Arabidopsis thaliana: one gene and its partners. The protein of the gene in region 2 interacts with the protein of the main gene of each other region in a pairwise test. Each region holds a gene or a part of one and is shown on either strand. Other genes may lie near its edges.

Region 1 (3,936 bases), on a different chromosome or scaffold from region 2:
TGAAGAACCGCCTCGTTGCACTCATCACAAATGTCAAACCTGGAAAGCTAAGAGATGTAATGTCACAAGGACTGGTAATACTCTCTTCTGTCTGCCTCAATCCAGCTCATCAGCTATCAAAATATTTCACACTCTCACATTTGCTCATTTTCTGTGTTTTTGATTTCTTTGCTGCAGGTTCTTTGTGCTTCAAGTGAAGATCACTCGGTGGTAGAGCCGTTGCTACCACCTGCTGGTGCTAAACCAGGAGAGCGTGTTTCATTTTCAGGGTACATAGTTTTAACAATATAACATCGAACCTCTTTGATTGCTTTATTTACATGTTTCCCCTCCAGCCATTAAACTCATATATGCTCTTTTCTTTTTATTTTATTGTTGTTCTTGTTTATCTCAAACTCAAGAACCCTTTATCGAAATGTTTATATAGGATTGAAGGAAAGCCAGAAGATGTACTGAACCCAAAAAAGAAGCAACTAGAGAAGATAACACCGGTATGTGTTTTTTGCCCTTTATTAGGTTCCAGACTTAAACAAACCGAAGATGCGAGTACTGTGTTTGCATTATTATACGTAAACATTCAATCTCACGAGGACTTCGGTTAATCACATGCATTTGCAGGGTCTCTACACTGATGAAAATGGCGTAGCCACATACAAAGGCATACAATTCATGACCTCGGCTGGACCTTGCACTTCCAGCATCCCCAAGGCGACCATCAAGTAGTAAACTCAGTTGATACTTCTCTCCTCTACTCTAGCGTTTTTCTTTGATATTCGCAAACTCAGTTGGAAAAAGAAAAGATGTTCTTTTTGTCACAATTCGAATTAATCTAAAAACTTTCTTCTTATTAGCTTTTTGACAAACATCATTGTTTCAATTTCCCTTTTGAGAACTCTCTGCTACTAGATACTTAGTTCCATTTTCTTTGTTCACTCCTTTCGTTCAAGCTGTGCAAGTCCACCATTGGATTGCAACGTATTACCTACAAATATCCACTTAGCTACTTATGGGGTTTTTTCAATCAGATAAACCAAGCCATTCACTCTGGATTGAACTATCAAACCAATTGTGTTCAAATAAACTTGCAAATTACTTCAATTAGAAGAAACAACCTCCTTTTGTTTTGATTCGACGTAGATGATCTTACAAGGAAGGATGATAAAGAATCTTAGACCTGGCCCATGGGGATCTCTAAAAGAGATTGGTGGTCCATTTGTGACAAAAAGTCATTACCTGTTTCCATTTATTCCAAGGATTTGAACCCGAAAAATAATAATGAAAAAGTTGATATCTAAAGAATTATCTTATCAGCTTACAAGATCCTGAAACAGATCCGTACGACTGTCACCGGACACATATGTTTCTTTATTTAGTTTCACAAAGAATCAGTCCTCCAAAACACACAACTTCTTTCTTATATTAAACACACACAAAATCTTTATTCTTGTCCCAAAAAACAATTATGATCTTTTTTGAGGTTCTTTGGCTTTTATTATACGATTTTTCTTCAAATCATATCAGATTGTTACCGAATAAATCTTTTTCATATCATATTTTCAGTTCTATGAATCTACTACAATTTTTTAATTTTAAAGTGGTCCAAAAGAAAAGAAAAAAAGAAACCCCACACGATTCGAAGAACATGTCCTAACAAGTAACACAATACAAAAAGACAAGTATATGCAACTTTAAATCTATAACGACTGGTACTGAAACTAAAACCCCTAAAAATAAGAGATCACGAAATATCCGTGATATTCTTTGATGCAATCTCTTCCCCATTGCTCTCTGTTTTTATTTACTTTTAAAAATTATTCTGCAGAATTATATATAGTTGGGAAATCATAATGGAAAATTCTTCACCCACCTAAAAAATCAAAGAAACCATCATAAATACCATCACCAGAGATTCACATGATTCATGCATACACACTTCTGAGTCTGTCACTTTCTTCTTCATTGTTTGTGTTTTGTCTTTTTGATTTATTTTTGTTGAAGATGGAGAACTAAAAGCAATGTCTGCAAGGTCTTTATATTAATGCTAGAGTCAGTCTCGCTTATTATCAAGTTGTTTTCTTTATCAGTTACTTGACATTTAAGGAACAAAGGAGATCATGAACAGTTCAGGAGGTTCTTGTTCGTCTTTAATGGATGTGGTGGCTTATGATCATCATCTTCATCATGGTCATGATGAAGAGCTTCATGTTTTAGCTGTAGATGATAATCTTATTGACCGTAAACTCGTTGAGAGGTTGCTCAAGATCTCTTGTTGCAAAGGTTCAATCATTTTACCTTTCATGTTTTATAATCAATCATTACTTTATGCAATCTTTGTCTCTAAAATGTGAATTTTTGCAGTGACAACAGCAGAGAATGCGCTTAGAGCATTGGAGTATTTGGGTTTGGGAGATCAAAATCAGCATATTGATGCATTGACCTGTAACGTAAGCAAAAAAAAAACATATAAAATCTTCAAGATCTATGGATTTTTTTCCTTAGGACATATTTGATATTAGGTTTATATATGTGTGGATTTTCTAGGTTATGAAGGTGAGTCTAATCATCACCGATTACTGTATGCCTGGAATGACAGGTTTTGAGCTACTCAAGAAAGTGAAGGTAATTATATAACAGCTTCTTGGAACCAATATCCAGAGATTTATATTAACCTAAAAATCTTCTGTGTGTTTCTTTAGCAGGAGTCATCAAATCTGAGAGAGGTTCCTGTTGTGATAATGTCTTCAGAGAATATTCCTACTCGCATAAACAAGTAAGAACAAATTGAGATCAGATTAAGAACTTGTTTCTGTGTTTCTTATAGTGTAAGTAATTAGTAAAGATCATCAATCTTAATGTTCTGTTTTGGTCTTTTGAAAGCAGATGTTTAGCGAGTGGAGCTCAAATGTTTATGCAGAAGCCTTTGAAGCTTGCTGATGTTGAGAAGCTTAAATGTCATCTCATGAACTGCAGAAGCTAACCATGAGAGATTTATAATGTTAGCCCTAACCATGAAACGTTTTCATTGTGTCTTGATTCCTTATTTGATTATTTTACATGTTTTTCTTGAAATCAAGAAATGTTTTCACATGCCCTATAGTAATCTTTATACACAAAAGGAATCATAAAAAGTGGTTGTGGTGATGAAGATGATGACGATGTCTTCTCTCTTCCAATCCTAAACATCGAATAAATGGATAACATGAGAGGAAGAAACATCTCTTTATTCCTCTAACCATTGAAAATGGAGGCCACACGCAACAACAACAACATTGATGAGTCTCTTCTATCGTTGTTTCTTTCTCTTTTCTTCTTCCTCTTCTCTTATCTCTTTTGCGGCCATTGTTGCACAATATTGACATCGTTTCTGCGTGAAAAGAAGAGTAAGAATCTTGTGCAGCAAGAAAGGTCTAGAATTTCAATTTAGAACAGAAAAAATTAATACGAGAGAAAAAAAAGAGCAAAGGATCTTAACTGAATCACGATGAGATTCATATAAGAGTACAATCCTGTTTTTCTTCTCTTACCTCGGAAAATTCACCGGAATCTTATGAATGGGCTCGAAAATCTTTGGCAAGGAAGATTAATGGTGAGAGAAGATGATGAATCTCTTTCTTCTCCGAGAGACAGAGAGAGAGAGTCGAAAGTCGAGACGCAGAGGAGAAATTGTCTCCTCCGGAGACTTGTACGTCTCCATGGAAGCTTTCAACATCATAACACGTGTCATTTCATATGTGTCTCCGTTCTCATTACTTTAGATCGGACCAAACCTACCAATCTTTTTTATGTTTTTTATTTTATATGTTTTGTTTATGTGCATGATGTTATTATTTTTCTTTCTTTTTCTGATTTGTGTATGTACCGCACGATTTCTCGTAGTATACACATGATTTGTATTTGAGACTGAAATAAAACCATGCTATACGTAGATTTGGTACT
Region 2 (3,335 bases):
ATTAAGCAGAGGCTTTCAGACACCGACTCGAGGGCAGAGGTTTGTTACATCTCTCTCTTTCACATCTTTGCGTTGTTAGGTCTGAAAACGCATTGATCATTCATGTTACGTGGTCAATTGCAGCCTGCAACGATCAAGATAAGCCAAACGGACCAAGCAGCTGGAGCAGGGCAGGCCACACAGAAATCTGCATGCTGTGGAACTTAAAAAAGTTTTAAAAGTGAAGTTTAAGTCGAAAAAAGTTTGGGGGTGAAGTGAAAAACTAAGATATCGTTGGGTGCTTATGTAATTTTTTGTTTTATGCCAACAATTCTGATTCGTTCTTCTAAATTGTCCTTCCTATTTGTACGAAGGTTTAATCGAAACTTGTATTTTTCTTTTCTATTACTGATTTTTTATGACGGTGACTGAATTGTTTATGTTGGTCATCACTTCTCTCTATATATCCTCTGTTCTTAATTTTTCTCTTGCTTCCTCTTTTATCAAGTCTTTAAACATTACTTCTAATACTCGTAAACTCATCTTTGACACAACCATAAGCAATACAAAACCATAATATGTACACTGCCTGATTTATGAGTCGTAAACGTATAATTGTGTTAGCAATCCAGTGATGAAGAAACTTATCATGTTTTAGTTGCACTACAGTTACTATAGCTGACACTTATATTGTAGTTTCAACACCAGTTAAACCATTCTCATAGTTCAACAACATTCTAGGGTTAATAAAACGTGAAACCAAAATTTAGCGAACAAGAAAATAAATCTTGAATAGTATATCAGATTGTATTCAGATCATGTATTCACATCGAATAGTAAGATAAATGGATCAACAAAGACTAAAACCATGTAAAAAGTACTACTCTATGTAAGATTATCAATAAAACTAAAACCCTAACGAACATGAAAAATCAGTACATCGTTCTTCCCAACTCCAATTCCGTGTTGACAAAGCTCTCCACCGAAGTTAAGTCGAAATCCAAACACGCCACTCTCTTCCCACTACTCGATTTCTTCAAAGTCGTCACCGTTGTCGTCTCCGGCATGAAAGAATGCGTAACCAATACGTTAGAAGCCTTTTCTCGTTCTTTCTCGTTCCTATGTTTCCTCATGTGACCACCAAGAGCTTGTCCCATCGGAAACTCCAAGCCACAAATCGGACAAGTATGAGCCGTCGTCGTAGTCGTAGTTTTAGGCTTCTTCTTTGGTGATCCAGGAAGTGATTTATCGTCACTGTTGGTTAGTTTCGAGTGGCTTGCACGGTGGCCTCCTAAAGCTTGGAACGAATCGAAGTCTCTCTCACAAGTCTTGCATCGGAAAACACGTTTCTTTCTTCCGTCGTGTTCTCCAATTCCTGATAACAACATCAGACAGCTCGCCGCCGTATCCACCGTCAGATCACGATTATCACTTTCAGCAACCATGATTTTAGTTTCGAATCGAGCGAGTGACTTTCTAGGGTTTTGTTTTATGCTTGTGTGTGTTGACTCACTCCTCTTATATATAGGAGACTGGATTGAGTAAAGACGGTTTTAATTGACGAAAATACCCTCTCAAGACTTGCTGCCTAAGTTAGTAAAAATTGAAGCTGCGGTGTAAAGATGTACATGTAGAAAATCAGAGTCACCGCTTTAACACTAAAAACTCGGAAAAATGGAAATATTCATTTGTGAAAGAATATATTCTTATTGCTTTCCTCCACTAATTAGACAAATATTGAAAGACGTACTATAACCAGTTTTAATTATTTTTATAAAAAAAACAAGTTTTAATTAATATATAAATATGTATATTATATATAAAAAATATTGTAATTATCTTAATAAATATTTTATTCTAACGCGGTCTCTTCGGGTTCGTGTTCCTTCTTAAGCCGCCTTTTACTATTTGAGATTGGGCAAATCTACTTGGTACGTAACTTATCCGTATTCATTTATCACCAAGAAAAAGAAAAAAACTTATTCATAGTCGACATACTTCTAGAACTTTTTGTTGGTTCGATAGTCAATATTTATGTTCAGTTTATTTGTGAAACTCATGTCCTAGTAATTACACTTACACGCATATTATTCATTTGTATATACTTCGGAATCTTCTGACCTACGTCTTTTTATTCGCAATGATCAATAGAACTCAAGACTTGAGAAGATCATCGTGTCATTATCTAACTAAGATTTTGTCACAGTAACGTACGTAAATGAGGGACAAGTAGAGGTGTGTGGCTCTCGCACGAGTCACCGAGAAGGGAACGAATAAAAAGTGTGAAAATAGTGGTTGTACGGAAACTAGAGGGAAACTATTAGAAGCAAAGCAGAAGAAAAAAAGAAAATGAGAGAGTGGTTTGATGCGACATTTTTGATACACTTCCACGCGGTTTCTTCTTACCACAAATCTCTTCACATGTTTTTATTCACAAATTAGGTTTATCTCTCATATTCATCTCCCACTAAATAAGCAAATAGAGACAAGGATGTTATATCTGTAAGCATTTAGCTAATATCTAATATAAGAATACATATAAAATTAAAATTAATAGAAACATTTTATTGTTGAAGTTTACTACACACAGACTTCTCTAAGCATCTTACCTATTTATTTTATGTGCTAGTTTGACTGTTTAAATTAATTTTAACTTCATTATTTATATTCGACACATTATTCAAATCTCAATGCAATGATTCAATCTCTAGTTTGACGATTAAAAATTTGAATAGTTGATAATTCTTTTAATATTAGTCTATAATCTAAAGATAACGGGTGCCAAAAAAAAAAACTGAAAACAAGAAAAACTTTGAGAACATTTAGGAATCATAACTACTTATTAGAACGATCCAAACTTGAAGATTAACTAATTTGAACCTTTTTTTAACAATTTCTTCCCTTGGATGTGCGATTCTTGTAAGAGAGAGTGGAGAGAGGTTGGTTAGCTTAGTCTTGTCTCTGGTTATACTTGTTTCAATTGTTTTCTTGTTGTTGAAGTTGACCACACATATAATGGTTTCAAGTTTCAACACTACTTAAACCATTCATAGATCAAACTTCAAGGGCTAATTTAAAGAAAACAAGAAAATTAGTGTACATTGAATGTAAACTCCAATAGTGTATATCAAAATAATATTCACATCGATCGGTAAGATAAATGGATCTACAAAGATTACAATATGAAACTGTATGAAAATATGTTAAAACCCTATAACGAATATGAAGAAATAAAACGAATCAAGAAATCGTTCTTCCCAACTCCAACTTCCAATTGACTAAACTCTCCATCGAATCTAAGTCCAAACAAGCCACTCTCTTCCCACTACTCGATTTTTTCAAAGTCGTCACCGTCG
Region 3 (4,246 bases), on a different chromosome or scaffold from region 2:
AAAAATTCAAACTTTTGGTGACTTTAAATACAAGTAAAGTTATCTGTAACTAAACGGTGTCGTTTAGAGCAGTTTGAGAGTTTGTTTTAGTGAATGTGTTGATGTCTCAATTGAAAAGGAAAGGTGGTAAAAAAAGTAGGTACCAAAGCACTTTCTGCGCAAGAATCAATTTGTATTTCTTGTTTTGTGAAAGTATAGATTATTATTTAGAAACTTTAGTAATTGTCTAAGATCAATCGTATTTTTATGTTATATTCGTTTAATTTGGCCAAACAGATATAAAACGTGTTTGAACTGTTGGTTTAGGACTGTCATAATTGTTGAAGATGTTTCTAGCCTTTTGATCGCAATTTTGGGAATGTTATTTCATATTTTGTTAAAATATGTTTAGTGAGAGCACTAAATGGCTTGAAATGTTTTGGATATTGGACATAGCAATTCGATTATCTGAGTGTAGTTGAATTTGTTCTATTTTTAGTTTTTACGTTCTTTTTTGGTGTGGAGGAATTTTTGATTAAAAAGACATAATTGACATGGAAGAAAATTTGCGTTAAAAAAACAAGGAAGAAAATTAGCGACACTTTGGTTAGATCAGCGAATAAGCCCATGGGCTATACCTTAGCTAGGCCCATTATTACTTTATTTAAGATGTATGTGATGGACATCACTTTATTTTGATGTTTTTCTTTTGCATGGATAAAAGCCATAAAACAGTTATCACTTTGGGCTCTAAATAGTACAACTGTACAAGTTTAGCTAGTTTTAAACAATTTTCCATTTCAGTTGTTTGAATTACATCATGAAATTAGAATTCTATTCCCTAATAAAAATCATGCTATACAAGACTTAGAAACTTTACCCTATATATTACTTTATATTTATCTCCAGTCCAGTCCTACATTGAGACATTTTAACAAAGTATAGATTCGAATCTTGCTGATATAGTTGGTAGGCCAATAACAATTCAACAAATTATATTCTTTGTTTTCTTGGCAGTTTCATAAATTATATCCATGTATGTAATAACATAAATAAAACAAAATGACGTCAAACGACAAACAAAAAAACAAAAAAAAACTGTTACTAAAGTAATATAACTGTGTTTGGTTCATGAATGTGACATTATCAACAACACACACCCCGAAGAAAACGGCAAATTACTGGAAAAGTCTTACCAAAAAAAAAGATAGAAAAAGCATATGAGATACACTTAACCTTAACCCAATAACCATTCTGTTTAAACTTTTCAAAAGACACATCTAAACTATCTTAAGCTTGAAGTCGTCTTCACTTCTGAATCTGATCAAGTCTTGACCAAAACAACACAGAGACTACCTGTTGTTTTACATCATACAACAACAAAAACGACAAGTCGTTTCCCCCAAAAAGAGCAAAAAAACATGTACACACTAATTCAAACTTAAAAACTCACTTGATTCTGATCAAAGTATCTAATTAGCCTAATTCTCAAATTTCAAATTAATCATCATCCAGATCTTATCTTATACAATATAAATTAATTAAAACATTATCTTCTTCATCAAGCCACTCCCATTATACTATCTCCATTACTCGACATCGCCTCGAACCCCGAGGAGGCACGTGAGCCACGTGCCTTCTGTTCATTGGACGATGACGATGTCGACGAAGACGGCCTCTGCAAATTCAGCGACAGCGGAAACATCTCCGTTGTCGCTGGAGTTTTTTTCTTGTTAAGATTCAAATCAGCCATCTTCCGCGACGGTGGAATCGGAATAGGAATCGGAACTGGACGGATTAGCTCCAATGGAGTCTGTAACTGATTCTCTTCTTTTGATGATCCTATAAACTGTTGACATATCGAACCTTATGTGTTAGTATAATCTTACAGATTCTTGATTTTAATTATAGATTTTAAAGAATGAAACGTTACCGAATCGGGAGTGATATCGAAGAGGCTTGATCTACGACGACGACGATTCTGATTAGTCCGCCGGAGAAAATATTTCTGAGCATGACTCGCTACCTGAGTAGGTGTTCGAGTTTTAACAAAGTTTCTAGAGATTCCTCTCCAATCACCTTTTCCAACTTTATGCAATCCAGTAAGAAACAATCTATGTTCTTCCTCTGTCCATGGAGTTCCTAAATTCCAAATTTGCAAGAAAGTTTCAAAAACAAGAAACAAAAACAGAGATGAGATTTGGGAAAGAGAGAAGAAAGGTTATTTTATTAACCTCGTTTGCGTTCACGGTTTCTACCGGAGGCGTGAACGACGTCGTCTGAAGCGTAACCACCGTCATCGGTTGGGTTGGGATCAGGAGTTTGATCGAATTGAGAGAGATTGTTCATACTAACACTTTTTCTAAAACAAGATGATGAAGCTTCCGTGACGCGGACGCCAAAAAGCATGATGGCTTTCTCCCCGCCGCCTTTGTCGTTGTTGTCACCGGTGGTAGTTATGTCCGTCGGACATGTGCGAGAGTTGTGGCCGTTGTTTCCACACTGTGAGCAACTACGTGACATCTTCTTCCCGAGCCAGAGAAAGAGAGAGAGAGAGAGAGAGATTTTGGAATGAAAAAGGTAAAGAGAAGAAGAAAAGAGAGGTTTAGGTTTGTTATAAATGGGAATGATTCTGCTTCTTTTTTTTATGTCTGTTTTTGAGAGCTCACCACAAAAACATTTGACCTTTATTACTTCTCTGTTTTAAATCTCAAATGACTCTGTTTTGTCCAATTATAATATTTTCTTTTGTCCATCTTAGTTTCTATTTTCATTGGCCCAAAGAAAACAAAAAATCTCCCTTTTCATTGACCTAGTTTGTGATCACTTTTTTTAATTGGTAACCTCAATAACGGTTAGAAAGAAATAATCGACGGTTATTATTTGAATTTACCACTTCTAAGCACTTGTTTGCCATTAGCCACTTCCCTAGTTAATATCACCATGGAGTCGAAGCGTGGCCAGTTTTGGATCGTTAGAAAGAAAAATATGGATAGGTTGTCGTTACGTATATAAGTATTTTAAATTTTGTGGCCAATTGCAAGGTTCGTGGACTTTTGTGAATAGTTTCATGAAATGTTTAGTGCTGCAAGTTACGAGAAATCCGAGTGGATGAAGTTTCTCTTGTCGGCGAGTGTATGAAGTTTCGGAGAAGATTGCTGTAGCTTTTTAATTTTCACGATTAACGAAACAACTTTGCATCAAAACGATAGCCAGAAAAAAATAAAGGAGGAAAGCTGGACCGTTCGATGTATCTGACTCTTGCTGTTTGTGATATAGTATAATTTAATTAAAACCTGTAACATTATTCAAAATAACTAAATTTTCATTTTGTTCATTGGGATAAGATATAATCTTGTTATTGATTTTTTTTTTTTTAATACTGTTTTCTTTTGTCTTATAGTACAATTTTGTTTTTTTTTATATAACCCAAAATATCGACTGTCCACGTAGCTCTGAGTGGATGATAGATTGAAGAATCTTTGGTTCCAACTAACATATAAAACTACGACCATTCAATTTTCATTATATGTTTCTTATTTACCCTTTATCTTTGTTGGTGACAATTATTGATAGGGACGACTATGATTAAATATTCAAATGCAATTTTAGATGCTTTATTGGAATTACTGACTATAGAAGCAACTGCGTGTCAAATTTCAGTGTTAGATTTACCAAGAAGGCACAGACACGTTTTCCTCACTTGAATTGAAATTGTCCCAAATTTTATCATTATTCATCGAAATCATAATAAAGATTCGATGCGTTTACTTTTTCAGTTAAAAGCAAACACCCAAAAATTGATATTGTTGGTGTACACATGACCCGCTTGAGAGCACTAACCCATGGTATAGGAGCATTACGCCAAACTTCTTCTTTTTTTTGTTTGTTCTGTTACTTGGGACATGCATGTTTGAAAAGCAAATATGGTTATAATTCAACAATTTTTTTAAAAGGCAGCCTATCTAATTTACTTTTTACAGTAATTTTAACTTAATGTTAAATTGGCATTAACTTTACTTAATTCTTACAGTGGTTAGCATCGATAAACTATAAGCAAAGATATAAACAAAGAGCATCGTATGTGTAGTGTACGTGCATAGGTAACCTTCTGTCAAAGATGTTCTGTGATTGGTTGATAGTGATATAGCATATGAAAGCCTCCATTCACATTTTTTTTTTTGGACATCCAATACATTTATATAATATTCGTTTTTAGCGATTAAAAGATATAAAATATTGTTATATAATATCAAAAACGGAAAGG

Evidence for each region. The genes of interacting proteins can lie anywhere in the genome.
Region 1: the proteins of AT3G46070 (region 2) and RR16 interact in a two-hybrid assay, tested with the Arabidopsis thaliana proteins (one large-scale study listed by BioGRID).
Region 3: the proteins of AT3G46070 (region 2) and AT1G70000 interact in a two-hybrid assay, tested with the Arabidopsis thaliana proteins (one large-scale study listed by BioGRID).

The regions. Positions count from the first base shown.
Region 1 is NC_003071.7:16,968,144-16,972,079, forward strand, and holds RR16 (response regulator 16), read left to right. Parts: upstream 1-1,710; 5' UTR 1,711-2,114; coding exon 2,115-2,277; intron 2,278-2,358; coding exon 2,359-2,444; intron 2,445-2,541; coding exon 2,542-2,619; intron 2,620-2,696; coding exon 2,697-2,770; intron 2,771-2,880; coding exon 2,881-2,977; 3' UTR 2,978-3,091; downstream 3,092-3,936. Other genes in the region: AT2G40660 (Nucleic acid-binding, OB-fold-like protein), read left to right, coding at 6-74, 178-269, 428-491, 619-723. UniProt on the Arabidopsis thaliana protein: Functions as a response regulator involved in His-to-Asp phosphorelay signal transduction system. Phosphorylation of the Asp residue in the receiver domain activates the ability of the protein to promote the transcription of target genes.
Region 2 is NC_003074.8:16,919,534-16,922,868, forward strand, and holds AT3G46070 (C2H2-type zinc finger family protein), read right to left. Parts: upstream 1,425-3,335; coding exon 912-1,424; downstream 1-911. Other genes in the region: RABE1c (RAB GTPase homolog 8A), read left to right, coding at 1-39, 124-207; AT3G46080 (C2H2-type zinc finger family protein), read right to left, coding at 3,220-3,335.
Region 3 is NC_003070.9:26,362,134-26,366,379, forward strand, and holds AT1G70000 (myb-like transcription factor family protein), read right to left. Parts: upstream 2,746-4,246; 5' UTR 2,503-2,745; coding exon 2,214-2,502; intron 2,122-2,213; coding exon 1,913-2,121; intron 1,829-1,912; coding exon 1,541-1,828; 3' UTR 846-1,540; downstream 1-845.